Drosophila melanogaster: one gene and its partners. The protein of the gene in region 1 interacts with the protein of each later gene in a pairwise test. Each region holds a gene or a part of one and is shown in the gene's direction. Other genes may lie near its edges.

What was found.
Region 2: the proteins of Polr2B (region 1) and noc interact in a two-hybrid assay, tested with the Drosophila melanogaster proteins (one large-scale study listed by BioGRID).
Region 3: the proteins of Polr2B (region 1) and CG10154 interact in a two-hybrid assay, tested with the Drosophila melanogaster proteins (one large-scale study listed by BioGRID).

The regions. Positions count from the first base shown.
Region 1 is NT_033777.3:14,123,655-14,130,865, forward strand, and holds Polr2B (RNA polymerase II subunit B), read left to right. Parts: upstream 1-2,136; 5' UTR 2,137-2,292; coding exon 2,293-2,314; intron 2,315-2,441; coding exon 2,442-4,610; intron 4,611-4,685; coding exon 4,686-5,620; intron 5,621-5,679; coding exon 5,680-6,084; 3' UTR 6,085-6,457; downstream 6,458-7,211. Other genes in the region: twf (twinfilin), read left to right, coding at 1-96, 381-533; 140up (upstream of RpII140), read right to left, coding at 851-1,208, 1,271-1,359, 1,421-1,586, 1,650-1,822; CG14356 (uncharacterized protein), read right to left, coding at 7,110-7,211. UniProt on the Drosophila melanogaster protein: DNA-dependent RNA polymerase catalyzes the transcription of DNA into RNA using the four ribonucleoside triphosphates as substrates. Second largest component of RNA polymerase II which synthesizes mRNA precursors and many functional non-coding RNAs.
Region 2 is NT_033779.5:14,489,016-14,494,871, forward strand, and holds noc (no ocelli), read left to right. Parts: upstream 1-1,843; 5' UTR 1,844-2,230; coding exon 2,231-2,320; intron 2,321-2,622; coding exon 2,623-4,146; 3' UTR 4,147-5,004; downstream 5,005-5,856. UniProt on the Drosophila melanogaster protein: May negatively regulate Notch-induced cell proliferation in the eye-head primordium. Required for development of the supraesophageal ganglion and ocelli.
Region 3 is NT_037436.4:13,435,147-13,439,458, reverse strand, and holds CG10154 (uncharacterized protein), read left to right. Parts: upstream 1-2,322; 5' UTR 2,323-2,362; coding exon 2,363-2,363; intron 2,364-2,427; coding exon 2,428-2,667; intron 2,668-2,753; coding exon 2,754-3,238; intron 3,239-3,380; coding exon 3,381-3,605; 3' UTR 3,606-3,779; downstream 3,780-4,312. Other genes in the region: CG10140 (uncharacterized protein), read left to right, coding at 1-102; CG10725 (uncharacterized protein), read right to left, coding at 484-708, 773-1,209, 1,268-1,414, 1,473-1,473.

The DNA.
Region 1 (7,211 bases):
TATTCCTGCTCCGTGCGCGAGCGCATGATGTACTCAAGCTGTAAGGCTCCTTTTCTCGACGAGCTCGCGGCCCTTGGCGTGGAGGTTGTTAAGAAGGTGAGTTGATATGAATGCGAGTGGGTGTGGCTGCGCTAATAGCACTAAAGATTAGGGCTATAAAAAGCAAAAGCAGGGTATATATTGTTTGTGATTTATTTATTGCTTTCAAATCGCCACATTCACTATACTTTTGATTCACGATCTCTAGAAATATTTTGAATCATAATTAGGGCGAATGTCTCACTTTTCACTTGAAATAGAAATCTGTAAATCATAAATAATGAGTAATTTTAAATCATACTAAATCTGATTCATGTTTCTAACAACGTTTTACATTTCAGCTTGAAATCGACAGCGGCAGCGAGCTGACCGAAGCCTTCTTGCAGGACGAGCTGCACCCAAAGAAGATTCTACACCGACCGGCTTTTGCCAAGCCCAAGGGGCCACCAAACCGAGGCGCCAAGCGCCTCACGCGTCCCACCGCAGAGGACTAAGTCTGAATCCCGATCCCACCGAGTCAATTCTGTTTATCGCCCTTCTACGTACTGTTTCCTAGCAGAGCATTTAATTTATTGTATCCAATCGTTTATTTCTTTTGTGTTGTGTCTATCCCGTGTCTATATGTGTCCGTACGTCAGTCGATATCTTTAGAGGCACTAGGCATCAACTGAAACATCGCATAGCAGCCGCCAAAGTGGGCTTCCTTAAATGTATTCTTGTCTATGTAACTTTAGATGGACATATATGCAATTTATTTAAATTAAAAAAAGTAACTAAGTTCACACTGGCGTCTTCTTTAAGTCCTCAGGACTCACTTGATCGTGTCCAGCGATACATGTTCGGATGTTTTCTCGTCGTGGGCCTTGAAAAGCTCTGGGTTTTCGTCCTCTGTCAGTTTTTTGAACGCCTGTTGAATGTTTTCGTCGCGATCGAGTCGCCATTTGTACTGCCAGTAGCGAACCTCTTCCATCGAGGTCCCTGATGCTTTCATCAGCAGCAGCGACGTCACACCAGCCACGCCGCCCAAGAAACCTCCAATGATTCCACCTGCCGCCATGCCCCGCAGACCAAGACTCACTTTGTAAAGCGAGCCGGTGATGGAACCAGCGGCCAAGTATTCGTAGATTGAGGATTTTCCACGGTACACCGACATACAAGTGATGATGCCGCTGTAAGGAACACATTTTTGTATCACACAGATACAGATTTGAATTCGTGTTGCTGAACTTACAAGTAGGATGTGGTAAAAAGTCCCACTCGCCAGCCCCATTTGAAGCCGCCTTTGGCAAAGTTGACTGTGAATTGATCTTGCAGCTTTTTCTGTAATTATGATTAAAAACTTGATTATAACATATTTAAATGATAATACGTAGATACCTACCTTGGCATCAAAGTGCGATTTAAATGCTGTGGCCTGGTTGTTCTCCATGAAATTCATGTAGGCCACGCGCGATTGTGTAACTCCGCCGTAAATAGCTCCAATAAGGAATCCTAGGAAGCCGGCCTGGTAAACCGAGTTAAGCTCGGAGGATATGCTGCCAAACTCGCTATTTAAATGTTTATGTACGGTCAGTAGATTTTAGTATAAATGGAATTCTTAGTTTTCCTACTCGATTGTAAACATTTGCTTGAGGCGCTCCAGTCCTGTTTCCTCTGGTGGTTTACTGGCCAGAAAGGCCTTGTATGTTTTGTTTTCCTTATCGACTATTTCATCTGCGGCGCCTTCGAATGTTGGCAGGATGCCTGCGATCAGAAACCGGCGTCCTTTCCACAGAAAATTCATTTTTTAAGCGTGTTAAATAACCAAGTAAAACGAGTACAACAATCTCAGCTGTTTGCCGGTCTGTTAGTGTTGGAAAGTGTGCGTGTCATTGGTGTTGGCAAACTCTCGGTTTAATTGTTTTTAATTTAAATGCGTTTGTTATTAATAAAATTATATTATTATAATAATTTAAGTTACATACTCATTTAGTTGTTCATATATTTTTTTCTTATATCATTCACACTTTTAAATTTATTTTGTTGCCAAAAACAATTTTATTGTGTTTACAAGTATTTGCTATAACTTTATGAACTGCACCTTGTGCTTTGCTTTTGCCGTTTACCAACACAGCACAACGCCGCTAATCGCGTTGTCGGCAAACATTTGTTGTGAAATTTTCTACGTTTTTACAATTTAATTCATTGCAAATCCAATTTATTGTTATTTACTTGAACGCATAAAGTGCTTCTGCACTTTAGAAAACTGAAATCATGATGTACGACAACGAGGAAGGTGAGTAAAATGAATTGCGAAAATTTGTGCATGCACGTTGGCGTGTACCAAAATTAATATGGCGGCTGGAGCGCTAGGGCTCCGCATTGTTAGCAATGAATTTCAATGGTCAAATAACATCTTGCAGAACTGTACGAGGAGGAGAATGCCGAGGAGATCTCTCACGAGCTGTGGCAGGAAGCCTGCTGGATCGTGATTAACGCGTACTTCGACGAGAAGGGCTTGGTGCGGCAGCAGCTGGACAGTTTCGATGAGTTCATTCAGATGTCGGTGCAGCGCATTGTGGAGGATTCCCCCGCCATTGAGTTGCAGGCGGAAGCGCAGCACACATCCGGAGAGGTGGAAACCCCGCCCAGATTCTCGCTGAAATTCGAGCAAATCTATCTTTCCAAGCCAACACATTGGGAAAAGGATGGTTCGCCCAGTCCTATGATGCCGAACGAGGCCCGCCTGCGAAATCTAACTTACTCCGCTCCTCTCTACGTGGACATTACGAAAACCAAGAATGTCGAGGGCCTGGATCCCGTGGAAACGCAGCATCAAAAGACTTTCATAGGCAAGATTCCCATCATGTTGAGATCAACGTACTGTTTGCTATCACAGCTTACTGATCGTGATCTTACGGAGCTGAACGAGTGCCCGTTGGATCCCGGTGGCTACTTCATCATCAACGGCTCCGAGAAGGTGCTAATTGCCCAAGAGAAAATGGCCACCAACACAGTGTACGTGTTCAGCATGAAAGATGGCAAGTATGCCTTTAAGACTGAGATTCGGTCGTGTTTGGAGCACAGTTCCAGACCCACGTCTACACTGTGGGTAAACATGATGGCAAGAGGATCGCAAAACATAAAAAAGTCAGCCATTGGTCAGAGGATTATTGCCATCTTACCGTACATCAAACAGGAGATACCCATTATGATTGTGTTTCGAGCATTGGGCTTCGTGGCCGATCGCGATATTCTGGAGCATATCATCTATGACTTCGACGATCCCGAGATGATGGAAATGGTGAAACCTTCTCTGGACGAGGCTTTTGTAGTCCAAGAGCAGAATGTTGCCTTGAATTTCATTGGAGCTAGAGGAGCACGTCCCGGAGTCACAAAAGACAAGCGTATAAAGTACGCTAAGGAAATTTTGCAAAAGGAAATGCTGCCCCACGTTGGAGTATCCGATTTCTGCGAGACCAAGAAGGCATACTTTTTGGGCTACATGGTTCACCGGCTGCTCTTAGCCTCTTTGGGCAGGAGAGAACTCGATGATCGAGATCACTATGGAAACAAGCGACTTGATCTCGCTGGACCCCTCCTGGCCTTCCTCTTCCGTGGTCTGTTCAAAAACCTGATGAAAGAGGTGCGCATGTACACACAGAAGTTCATCGATCGCGGAAAGGACTTCAACCTTGAACTGGCCATCAAGACTAATATTATTACTGATGGTTTAAGGTATTCCTTGGCCACTGGCAATTGGGGCGACCAGAAGAAGGCGCATCAGGCGAGAGCCGGTGTCTCCCAGGTGTTGAATCGCTTGACCTTCGCCTCTACTCTTTCCCATTTGCGGCGTGTGAATTCGCCAATTGGCAGAGACGGTAAACTGGCCAAACCTCGTCAGTTGCACAATACTCTTTGGGGTATGTTGTGTCCCGCTGAAACTCCTGAGGGAGCAGCTGTTGGTCTGGTGAAGAACCTGGCGCTCATGGCTTACATTTCTGTGGGATCACAACCTTCTCCCATTCTGGAGTTCTTGGAGGAGTGGTCTATGGAAAACCTGGAGGAAATTGCTCCTTCTGCCATCGCTGATGCTACAAAGATCTTTGTGAACGGCTGCTGGGTGGGCATACATCGTGATCCTGAGCAGCTCATGGCAACGCTTCGTAAGTTGCGTCGCCAGATGGATATCATCGTGTCAGAGGTGTCTATGATTCGAGACATTCGAGATCGTGAGATCCGAATCTATACAGATGCTGGTCGCATTTGTCGGCCACTTCTCATCGTGGAAAACGGATCGCTGCTGCTTAAAAAGACTCACGTGGAGATGTTAAAGGAGCGAGACTACAACAACTACAGTTGGCAGGTCCTTGTAGCCTCTGGAGTGGTGGAGTACATTGATACCCTTGAGGAGGAAACGGTCATGATCGCTATGTCTCCCTACGATCTGAAGCAGGACAAGGATTATGCTTATTGTACCACATACACACATTGTGAGATCCATCCAGCCATGATCCTGGGCGTGTGCGCGTCCATTATTCCCTTCCCCGATCACAATCAGAGTCCGCGTAACACCTATCAAAGCGCTATGGGTAAGTTTATGAGTATTCATTACTGTTCTACTTGAAATACTAATCCATTTATAACGTTTTTTTCATCTTTTATAGGTAAGCAAGCTATGGGCGTTTATATTACCAACTTCCACGTGCGTATGGACACACTAGCCCACGTACTTTACTATCCGATGAAGCCACTTGTGACCACACGTTCCATGGAGTACCTGCGTTTCCGAGAACTACCAGCTGGCATCAATTCAATCGTGGCTATTCTCTGCTACACTGGCTACAACCAGGAGGATTCTGTCATTCTGAATGCATCCGCTGTGGAGCGTGGATTCTTCCGCTCTGTGTTCTACCGATCATACAAGGATTCGGAGAACAAACGTGTCGGTGATCAGGAAGAGAACTTCGAGAAGCCTCATCGCGGCACCTGCCAAGGAATGAGAAATGCTCACTACGACAAGTTAGACGATGATGGAATTATTGCCCCAGGAATTCGTGTATCTGGCGACGATGTGGTTATTGGCAAGACCATTACCCTTCCTGAAAACGACGACGAACTGGACAGCAACACGAAGCGTTTCTCCAAACGAGATGCCTCCACTTTCCTGCGAAACTCTGAGACGGGTATTGTGGACCAGGTGATGCTTACGCTCAACAGCGAGGGCTACAAGTTCTGCAAGATTCGAGTGCGCTCGGTGCGTATTCCGCAGATCGGCGATAAGTTCGCTTCTCGTCACGGACAAAAGGGAACGTGCGGCATCCAGTACCGTCAGGAGGACATGGCCTTCACATGCGAGGGATTGGCACCCGATATCATTATTAACCCCCACGCTATCCCATCTCGTATGACAATTGGTCACTTGATCGAGTGTCTGCAGGGAAAACTGGGATCCAACAAGGGAGAGATCGGTGATGCTACACCCTTCAACGATGCCGTCAACGTGCAAAAGATCTCCACCTTCCTTCAGGAGTACGGCTATCATCTTCGAGGCAATGAGGTCATGTACAATGGCCACACTGGACGAAAGATTAATGCTCAGGTAAATTGCTTAACTTTCAACTTGCAATAATCTTAAACTAATCAGTCCCTTAACTACAGGTCTTCCTGGGGCCCACCTACTATCAGCGTCTTAAGCACATGGTGGACGACAAGATTCACTCTCGTGCTCGAGGCCCCGTCCAGATCCTGGTGCGTCAGCCTATGGAAGGTCGTGCTCGTGATGGTGGCTTGCGTTTCGGTGAGATGGAGCGTGATTGCCAGATCTCCCACGGCGCCGCTCAGTTCCTGCGAGAACGTTTATTCGAGGTCTCCGATCCGTACCGCGTACACATCTGCAACTTCTGTGGCCTGATTGCCATCGCCAATCTGCGCAACAATACGTTCGAGTGCAAGGGCTGCAAGAACAAGACGCAGATTTCCCAGGTGCGACTCCCATATGCGGCCAAGCTTCTCTTCCAGGAGCTGATGTCAATGAACATTGCGCCGCGCCTGATGGTCACCTAATCAGATCGGTATCCGCAACCGGACCACATAATAGCCCTAAGCTAAATGCTAGCAGTTAATTATTAAATTACCATAATTGTGACAACTCAATTATGTGCTTTGTGTGGCATTTTCTATTATTCCCGGAACTGGAGCGAATACCTGCCGAGCATTTTTAAAGACGCGAACGTGCCACAAGCGTATTTTGGGCGAAAGTCTGCACGGGTTCAAGAGCTGTTAGTGGAATGTGATTTATTTGCTTATTTGTAATAAGTTATTTTGCTCACAAACTTTTCTTGAGAGGGCAAATAGGGCATTGAAAGGTTTTGGTATTATTTGTGATTAAATTTTTGTTGGCAATTTAGTTGTCAATCCCTGTACGTTTTAGGACATCAAATAATCTGCGTTCTGACTCTTTATTTGCTCCAATTTTTCTTTGGTAATCCCCTAACAAAGTCCATTATCCAGCAAAATACCTTCGCCCTAAGCGTATCCTAAATTCGGTTTTTTACATAGAAAGCCTTTCCATTCGCATTTATTTTTTTGCCAAGCTTTTGTTGCCTTCTTTGATTTTGACGTAATGCTTTGGCCCGCGGTCTGTGACGCCCAGTGACAAAAGGGATTAGTTCTTTGTTGTCGGATGTGGATTGTGTGCGGTGGAGAAGGTGGTGGAGCTGTAGCCACAGCCGCCAATCGACTGACAGTTATTAATTGCCACTTGACGTGGCTCCGACGGAACGAGCAGCATCGGCCCAACCGAACTCGTGTCGCTGCCAATGCTGATACCAATGTTGGGGCTGATGGCCAAGACCATGCTGACACCCATCAGTCAGCCCGCCTGAGCCCGGCTTATGAGTAATTGAAATTGCGTGTAAATCCGCGAACGCGAAGTGGCGCCGCGATAAGAGAGTTCAGTTCAGAGCAACAAAAAAAAAAAAAAAGCGGAATGAAACACTCCACTTGGGCACGCCTGAGGTATTTATTTATAGCATCTTAAAAATAACTTATTTTACTCCTTTTTTATCGCCAACAACCGGTGTCTCTGCTCATTTATCACCGTTGCTAAAAACACTGATGGCGTAGAACTCGGGCACCCGGTAAACCTTCAGTCGCTCATGGCTAAATCGTCCGTTGGTGAGCGCCTTCAC
Region 2 (5,856 bases), on another chromosome or scaffold:
TTGCTAGTAAATAATTCACATACAGGAGCAGCGAATTTATGACGCTGACAAAGTGGCCATAAAAAATAACAAATAATAAGAGAAAATGCTATGGAACGTGTGCGTAAACTCTCCAACTCTGCAGCAGTATACATGCATATATACACGTATATACATTATTTTGGCAACACTTTTTTCGCTTTGTTGCACGCAAAACCGCAAATTATGTCTAAGCCGTATCGTAAAGTATCGCAGCACGCTCTTAACTAATAAATCCATCATTTCGCCGAAGGCCGAGAGTGTTTCCTCTACCTGTTTTAGCCTCGAAGGTATTTCGCTGCCGGGTTTCGGCTTAGGGATTCCCACAGAAAAATGTCTAAACACTCTAAATCGGGATTAAAAGTGTCGCTTCTGGGTTTTCGGCTTATCGTCCATATTTATACAGATTTTAATTTACTTGCCAGGGGCTTTGAAGGGTTCTTAAAACTCAGCTTGGTGATTAGGTAACATATCCCAAGGGCCAGATATTCCAAAATCCCCTCGGGGCTTGAGTTAAACATCTTGATACATAGTTTATGGTTAGTCCAACCGATTTGGTTGGGATTACGTTGGAGTTTTAATATCGGTTAGGTAAAGTGGCTAGAATGATCTAGATCAACAAAATCTAAATGATTAGTCACATAATATTTTCTAACTACTTAAATAATAGTAATCAATTATGTTTAGAAGGAGCTAGCCTATTATTAGCTCTTAATAATTTAATATAAATCAGCCTCGTTTTGCAATTAAACATTATTAGTATTCAGTAATTATCTTGAAACCAAGCAACGTGATTAACGCGATTTCGTGCGAAACGTAAATAAGTAAGTTAGGCAAGTGCTAACTGGAAAATTCAATCCAATTGTAGAGCGATTAAAAATGCAGCGGAGTTAACCAAACCATTAAACTATTACCAACTCTCTGAGTGCAACATGCCACAACACACATTCGCTTGTTTGATATGTGCAGATTAATTACACACACACCAAGGAAGGAGGAAAAATTGCTTGGAAAAACTTTTCGACGCGACAACAAAACAACGATTTCCACTTAAACAGCAAAACAGGAGCCACGAAAAAAAAGAGGGAAAACCAACCGCAGAAGTTAATCGAAAAACGCTAAACAAAGGCCACAACAACAGCTGTGCGAGTGAGCGGGTCAGAGGGAGAGAGGTGAAGTGCCAGAGCGGGAGAGCGACAAACAAATTAATTTTTATATGACATTAAAACGAGCGAAGCGAGGCGATGGAAATGGTTGAAGAGTGTGTTTAAGTGTTGAGTGGTTTGCTTTTCCGAGCAACAAATCTCGGTGCGAAGACAATGAGGCCTCTGCCGCGCCGCTGCCGCCACCACTGCAGCGCTGCTGCTGCTGACAGCCCCATCAAGAAAAAGTTCCCCCAGAGAGACACAGAGAGGGAGAGTGAGCGTGACATATGTGCCAAGATAAAATTAATGTGCCCCCCAAAGCAGCCACAACAACAACAACTCACTGAGCGGCGCTCTCAGCGCTCAACTGTTGCTCTCTGGACGAGTGTTGCCGTGGTGCAGCCATATTATTATGATTTTACAGGAAGCCAAATCGGAGAGCGAGAGAGAGAAAACCTGTCTTGGCTTCCATTGCAAGGCGCATGCGATTGTGATTGGACAAAAAGTACGCCATATTTGAAAATTACGCACAGTGCATCTCGCTCGCATGCAGCAGGCGGTGCTCCTCTAACGCAGGCAGCAAGCCAAAGTGTGCAGCGCTGCTCGCCGGAGAGCGCTCTCTCGCGAGTGAGCGAACGCTTCGCTGCGAGGGCAGTTACGCTCGCTGCCGCAGTCGTTGAATTCAATTCGAATTTTGACTTCGCAGCGTTCAGACGTGTTCGGAAAAACCTGAAAACCATTCGAGTGACAAGAGATATAACCAACAAAAATAAGAAACCTCAGTCAACTGTGGTCACTGATCGAGAGTGTTTCGTTTCGAGTGAAAAAGTGAAATCAGAGCCAAAACACAAATCGCTTGGCCAGCAAATTGAAATAGTGCTACAGAGATAAATTCTCTGCTCAAAACTACAAGTGTGTTAAATCGCCGATTTTCTTTGGATTTACCAACGTTTGCCGACGCATTTCTGTGGATTAACCTCATCGTCGCCGAAGCAAAGCTACGCATTTGTAGCCTTGTCTCGCAACTCACGTGGATTACCCTCGAGAAAACACACTAAGCAACTGATATGGTTGTCTTGGAAGGAGGCGGCGGCGTTGTTACCATCGGTAACAACCAGTACCTTCAACCGGATTATCTGGCCCCATTGCCAACGACGGTTAGTATTGACTAAGTTAAAAGCTGTAAAATTTTGGGATGGCCGTAAAATCTATGGTTTTAAATTTTGCGTACTTAAGAATTAAATTTGGAAAGTTCATAACATCAAACAATTTTTCAAATCTAAAAATTTATATCGTCATTAATACTTTCACGAACAAACTTTCTTTGGAAGAAATTGCATTTTCTCATAGTTTTAACTTCTCACCAAATTAAAATCAATATTATCTTAAAACTCGTAAAAAACTTTAAAATTACAAAAAACCTAATTCCAACTCCACATTTTCATTTTATTCATAACAGATGGACGCCAAAAAGAGTCCCTTGGCTCTGCTCGCACAGACTTGCTCCCAAATTGGAGCGGATTCGTCGGCAGTGAAACCCCTGCTGGCAATGGACAAGAACAAGACAAAGCCCGGAGCATGCTCCTCGTCGTCGAACTCGTCGAGTTCCTCGGGCAGTGCTGAGATCTCGGCAGCCAAGTCACCCTCCGGCCAGGCCAAATCGCCCAAGTCGAGCACTCCAATCAGCTCGACGGCAACCAGCGCAAGTCTGAGTAATACCAGCACCGGTGAAATCAAACTGGCCTTCAAGCCCTACGAGACCAATGTGCTGAGCCACCAGAACCAGAACTCCTTCAAGAGCAGCTCTTCGCTGGATGCGGAACCCACGCGTCCCAGCTCTAAGAACTCCTCATCCGCCCAGGAGCGTGTGCCATCGCGCAGCAAATCAAATGCCACGCCCACAGATGGCGGCAAGGCGGAGATTTCCGCGCACGATTCCTCATCCAGCCGAAAGACTGTCTCCCCGTCGGGATCGTCGCAACGCGGCGCCAGTCCCATTGTGCGCTCCGGCATGGAGGTGCTGAACAATGCCAACGGAACCGCCCAGCATCCCAAGGAAATGAGCAGCATGGCTGCGGCGGCAGCAGCAGCAGCAGCGGCTTACAAGGCCGCCGGACCCTATGGGCTGAATCCCCTGTCCGCCCTGTGCTGCCCGCCCGGAATGGAGCAGCACGCCAATCCCGCTTTCCGGCCACCGTTTGCCGGAGGATTCTCACACCATCACGCCGCCATGTTGGCAGTTGCCGCCAATGGAGGATATCCAGGCGGAGCTCCCGGCGGTGGACCAGCCGGACAGCCCAATCCGTACATAAGTTATCAGCGCATCAAGACACCAGCTGGCGGCGAGGCTATAGTGCCAGTCTGCAAGGATCCGTATTGCCAGGGATGTCCCTACTCGGCGCACACGCAACAAATGCTCATGGGTGCCCCCTGCCCCGCCGGATGCACCCAGTGCGAGCATCAGAAATACGGCCTGGCCATGGCCAGTGCCGCCGGACTGCCACCAGCTCATCCATACTCGCAGGCAGCGGCCGCTGCTGCGGCAAACGCGGCGGCAGCCCGTTCGGCACCCTACGTGTGCAGTTGGGTGGTGGGCGATGCCTACTGCGGCAAGCGATTCCAGACCTCCGACGAGCTCTTCTCCCACCTGCGCACCCATACGGGCAATCTCTCCGATCCGGCGGCTGCTGCGGCGGCCTTGGCCCAATCGCAGGCTCAATCCCTGCTGGGAACCCTATTTCCGCCATCGGCTCTCCGAGCTGGCTATCCAACACCACCACTGAGTCCCATGTCAGCGGCTGCGGCAGCGGCGAGGTATCATCCATACGCCAAGCCACCACCAGGCGCCTTGGCTGGAGGACCTTCGCCCTTCGGCGCCGCTGGAGCATTCAATCCTGCCGCGGCGGCTGCGGCAGCTGCTCTGGGACCCTACTACTCGCCATACGCCATGTACGGCCAGAGGATGGGAGCGGCTCATCAGTAAAGTGACTTCCACAAGAGTTAAATACCAAAAAAAAGGGGATTACGTTGAAGAGACAACCAGAGATATAGAATGAAACCATTTCCAAACCCTGTTTGAGATACTTTCATGGAAAACAAAAAAGATAAAAGCACAAAACGATTGCAAAGGCTGACACATCTCTGGCTTTTGCGCTATTCTGTGATACTAAACTGTAGTTTAAAGAGCGCTAGTTACACTTAAGTTTCGCAAACAGAAAATAATCAACCACCTAAAGAACAGTAGTAGCCGCAAAAATAGCAGGATCACTCTCTTCTATCATCGTAAATGTCTACATTGTTAGGTAAAAAGAAGTGCAGCCAACACGAAGTTCACTCACTCTTATTTGTTCTCAAAGTTCAACCAAAGTTTTTTAAGTCTTAGCCAGAACACATTCTACAACTTCCAATTTTGTTAATGAAGAACCCATTGCTGAGATGTTCAAACATTGTTTTAGTTTAACTTCGCTTTAAGTTCTATTAACTATTATTACGATTATCTGCAAGCATACAACAAACCAACAATTGAAATAATGTTCTTTAAGTCAACTTATATTTAAAGTAAGTGTAATGAATATTTGTAATACCAACCAATCAGAGATAAAAAATTAAAAAAAAATAATAATAATTACGAAAAATAAAAATGAATATTTCATATAATTATGTACTGTGTGTAAATTCTATAAATATAAACTAGATTTGCTATTTACTCCTTGATGTACGCAAACCACAATACGATCTACACAAGAAGCCACGGAATATCAAACAAAAATAACTTAAACTACATGCAACACATTCGTATAAAACTGAGAAATATACAAGAAAAAACAATTTTTAGAAGCATAAACCACGAATCTTTTCTTTTGAAACAAACTCTTTTACAGCTGGAAAACTTTTTGTTGGGCCATAATTTCGCTTCGGTTATCTGCGCTGTTTGGCTAGCTCACATATGGGTCATAAATATTGCTGATAATGCTCCACTAGGTTTTCAATTATATTTACATAAGGCTGAGTGGCAAATTCCGGAAACCATAACAAGGTCTAATTCTCTTAATTTTATAGTTCTTACTTAGAAATGGGACTAAAGGAGTTTTTAATTCTGAGAATTGAACTGCTTCTTATAAGTATCATTGATATTAAATGTAAGGTTCTAGGCAAATAAATAAATAAAATCTTATAGGTTATTCTTTAAAAATATTTTAATTAGTTTTATTTTAGACAAAAGGTATTTTAATGTGCTCTCAATTTTTTCTGGATGCACTCGAAGAAATCTGGGTTTCCCCATCTCACCTAACACATTTGAAATTCAAATTAGTACTATTAATTTGCATTGCTTGTTGCATTTTAAGCGCACTCAATTTGTATGCAGCGATTCGTATTCAGCCTAAAAAATCAAATCAAAAGCAAATTTCAATTTCACGAGGGGTGGGGTAAATAACTTGATTGGGCAAGCCTTAATAAAACAGTCGCCGGCAACAGTCATAAAACACCCAAGCTGAAAATTAAAAATCAATAAAAATCACATTTGTACCAACAATGTGTATAACAAAAATCAATTGCCATTCAATGAGCAACTCAAATGCATATATAAATGAATATGTGTGCATATGTACGTATGTATGTACATATAAAAAAATCGCTGACAAAGCGAAATGACTAACATTATTCACAAAAAATATGCTTCAGAAATATCAAA
Region 3 (4,312 bases), on another chromosome or scaffold:
TATTGCGTGGATGGACATGGTCTGGTTCTGGATTGTTCGGCGGGTCTTTGGTACGACCCCACGGTTCAGGAGTGTCGTGAACCCCAGAATGTGGGCATGTAACATGGTTGATCTGAATAAAAATTGTTTTTGTGACAAAAGTACTAAAGATGTTTCGATTTTTAAATGATTAAGCTAATTCGTTGAAAATTTATTTAATATTTATTTATTACTTAGTCCACTTCAACTAAAGTTTTATGTCCGAATAGTATGATTTTAAAATAAAGTGGTTATTTGAATATGTATTCAAATAGCTTTTTAACGTAAATTTCCCTTGCAACAAGTTCAATCAATCAATTGGTAGGTTTAAGATGATTGTAAAAAATAAGTGGATGCCTTATTTAAGACCCATTAACATAATCTGTCAAGCTTTTCTTTTCATAGTACGAGTATTATAAAGGCATTCGTTTGTTTGAAATCGTATTGGATCTTTATTTCGAGTAACTAGAAGCCCACGAGGTGTGGTTCACGGCACTCCTCGCGCTTGGCATCGAACACCAGGCCGGGTGTGCAGTCCAAGGTGACTCCACGTCCATTCAGGCAGTAGTAGTACGCATCCTGACGCTTCTGGTGGGCAATAAAGTGGGCGCCCTCCGATGGACACTCAATGTCGGCGAGACGTGGCGGAGCTCGGGCAAAGGGCAGGATATTCCGTTGAAGGCTCTCCACCTGAATGAAATGAATAGGTTTTTATGTGGCTCCCAGAAAACTTCAGATAAAAAAAAACACGCACCGTGCAGTTGACTTTCGAGGGGAAATCGCAGCTCTGAGTGCTTGGATTGTACTGCAGGCCACTTGTGCAGTTCTGGACTTGAGGAAGACCATCCATGCAAATGTAGTACTTGTCACAGCGAGCCTTGCTGGGTATGAAAACGATGTCATCCGGATTATTATTCCGGCTGCACAGATTGTCCACGCAGTCGACATACTGCGGATAGTCACAGCGATCGGTCAGGGCGTTGTACTGCAGTCCATCGGAGCACTGACGGATCACCGGAGTGCCGTCGAAGCAGAGAACGTACTTGGTGCACGTGCGATCGTAACAGAACGATGACAAACCACGGTTCTTACAGGATCCAATACACTCGACCTCCATCAGGGGAACACACTCCTGATCCCTCGCATCGAAGTAGTAGTCCGTGGGGCATTCACGGGGTACAGCTATCTCATCTGGGATAGAAACATGATAATGCGGTGAACTAGATATCCACAGGTGCTGGTGACTTACTCATGCACAGGAAGTACTTGCTACAGTTGCCCACCTGGGGAACAAAGAGATTGTTGACCACATTGGAGCAGACATTGACATCGCCATCAGCAGCGCTACAGCTTCCAAGCAGGGCAACCAGTGCCAAAAGGGTCAGGCGACTTATCACTTTGGAAAATAAACCAAGTTAGATCATTTCGGTTCCATAGCTGCAATTCATACTCACTATTCAAGGTTGGTTTCCTGCGGTTACTATCGTCTTACCTCGAAAAACCCCTCCATTTATAGGCAAACTCACTTGCCATTCAATCTGCGATTTGTTTTGATTCCGTGCAAATTTCCAATCTTATCGGATGTGGATGCATGTTTCCATGTGGTAATTGGATTGTTCTTCCTCATTCAAATTCGTCTGGCGGAGATAAGTTCGGTGAACAAGAGCCAATATTCAGGAACATACACCTCTGTCAGCCATTAGGAAACACGTGTATTGATGAGTCACAGTTGATCATCGAACCACGGATCGCTCAAGATCCGATGTAATTGTTACAAGTGTTTGGAATATTTGGATAGGAAGCCCCATTACTTTGAAGATCTAGAAATTATTAAGTTGTAGTTTAGGTTTAAGATTTTCTTCAAGATATATGTATGTATATTTGTTGTACAGGAAGGAAATGCTCCTAGTTAATCCAAATAGAATGTATTATTCTATAAAATTATTTTTTATTTTATTTATTTTTCTTTTCATATCTTAATCGCTAGCGCAGTAATACTTTGAATGTTTAAACCACTCGTGCACTAAAGTGATAAAAAAAAAAACCACACGTGCAAGGAAATTAAAACACTTTTCATCGATATCCACGGGTTCTGGGAACCAGTCTATTTAAAACATTTCGACTATGACTATTATCGCCAAGTTTGGTGGTGACAAATTGAAAGTCGAAATGTTTGCAGAAATAATGGCGTAGTTTTCCTCTAGAGGAGTCGTGTGCCGAAATAACCTGGTTGATAAGTGTAAATTGGCAAAAACTCATTAGGCGATGAAAGAGAGTCGATATAAAATGAATATTTCCTGGCCTGATAGCAAACAGTTGTGGCACACAGTTCAAACTATCCAGGAGTAAGTTGCTCATGCGATGGGATTCCCTATAGTTCATTTACCTAATAAATCGTAATTTCCCAAGTGAAGTGGCTATTAAATGGGCTCCTACTACTATTCATCATTTTGATGGTTCATCGGAACCGGGCCGATGAAGATCTTGTAGTAGCTCCCGGTCCAGACGACGATGGTGAGGGCCTAAATGTTCAGGATAAGGATATTTACGATATGTACGAAAACACCCAGATAAATGTCTGCGGCAATGTGGCGGATGGCGTTTATTTGCCCTATGTTGGAAATTGCTCCAAATATATCGAGTGTGAAAGTGAGTTATATACACTAAAACATCACATAAGTTTTTAAAGCAAATGAAAAATATTTTTAATACATTAAACTATCCATGTATTTAAGACAATACTATTAAGGAAGTAGGCAGCTGCTTGGATTTGGCAAAGGATAATCCAGATATTTGCGATCCGAACAAGTCGTGTGAGCTGGGCTACGATCCTGTTCTCCAAGTGTGCACCTACATGGAGGAGGTACAGTGTCTGCCCACCTGTGAGTCGTTCCGATTGAGCAGCTTCTGCTACGACAACACCTGTACCAAGTACGTGCTTTGCTATTACGGCAAACCCGTGCTACGCCAATGCCACGATGGACTCCAGTACAACAACGCCACGGATCGCTGTGACTTCCCCGAGTATGTGGACTGTGTGGCCAACGACTGTTCCGCCACCTTCCAGCCAGAGGACATCATCTACCTGGGTAGTAAGGCATCATGCAGCAAGTATTACGTCTGTTCCAATGGTCATCCGTGGGAACAGCAGTGTGCTCCTGGCTTGGCCTACAATCCCAGCTGCAAGTGCTGCGACTTTGCCAAGAATGTTAACTGCACGGTGAGTAGAAAAAGTGAAAGTGGATTTTTTTCATTTCAAATATATATTTTTAAATTGATTGTTTTGGATTGGTTTAAAGTACATTTTATACTGCTTCTGGAGTAATTTAATAATTTATTTATTTATACCTAAATATCTCTAGATTGATGCTGTAGCCAGGAATATTCTGCCATATTCCCGAACCCCTCTGCGTCGTGCTGACATTAAGTGTCCCCTTATGGGAACTCACTTCTTCCCACACAAATCTCGCCGAGATGCATATTATTACTGCGTCGAAGGACGTGGAGTCACACTAGACTGCACTCCGGGTCTTTACTACGATCCCAAAGTGGAGGATTGCCGCAGACCTGAATTCGTTGGTGTCTAACTGAGTTTTCATAAATAAATAATTACAACCTGTTGCTTTTGATTTTCGATTTTATGAAATGATAAGAGATTTTGTGAATGTAAGAAGTGATACAAATTGTTTATTCTGAAATGTTTTTTAAAAGAGCACATAACATTTTTAGTGTCGTTATTTTAAAGATTTATTAAAGGGACCAATCATTTGGTGTAAGACTCTCTTATCATCCCAAGAAAGTTCCACTAGTAAGAAATGGAAAAAAATAAATTCAATTAATTTACCAATAAAATGTTTGCTACAAAACGTTACAATTTGAATTGGATGGCCCGTTCACAATGGTGTTTTGTAAACGGCGCATGTGCTGTGCAGCCACAGTGTTTATTTTCCAAAAAAGAGAGAAAGAGTGCTCCACAGAGCACCCCATTCATGCTCTTCTGGTTGCAAACGCCAACCACCCGCTCGCCCACCGAGTGGCACGGCCACATATACAGAAAGCAAAAACAAAACGCTGTCTGTTGGCAAAAAGGAAAAAGAGGAAAACCATCCGTGGGGGCGGTGGGAAGTGAAAGAGCGCTCTGCGAAACTCATGAAAGTGAAAACGAGCGCGACGCTGGCCCAGCTGCATTCACACATTCAGTTGGCTGCGAGTCCTTGCGCCGTTCGAATCGCAGGCGAATCACCCATCGTCCAACACACAACCTCACAACCACCCACCACCCACCGCCCACCTG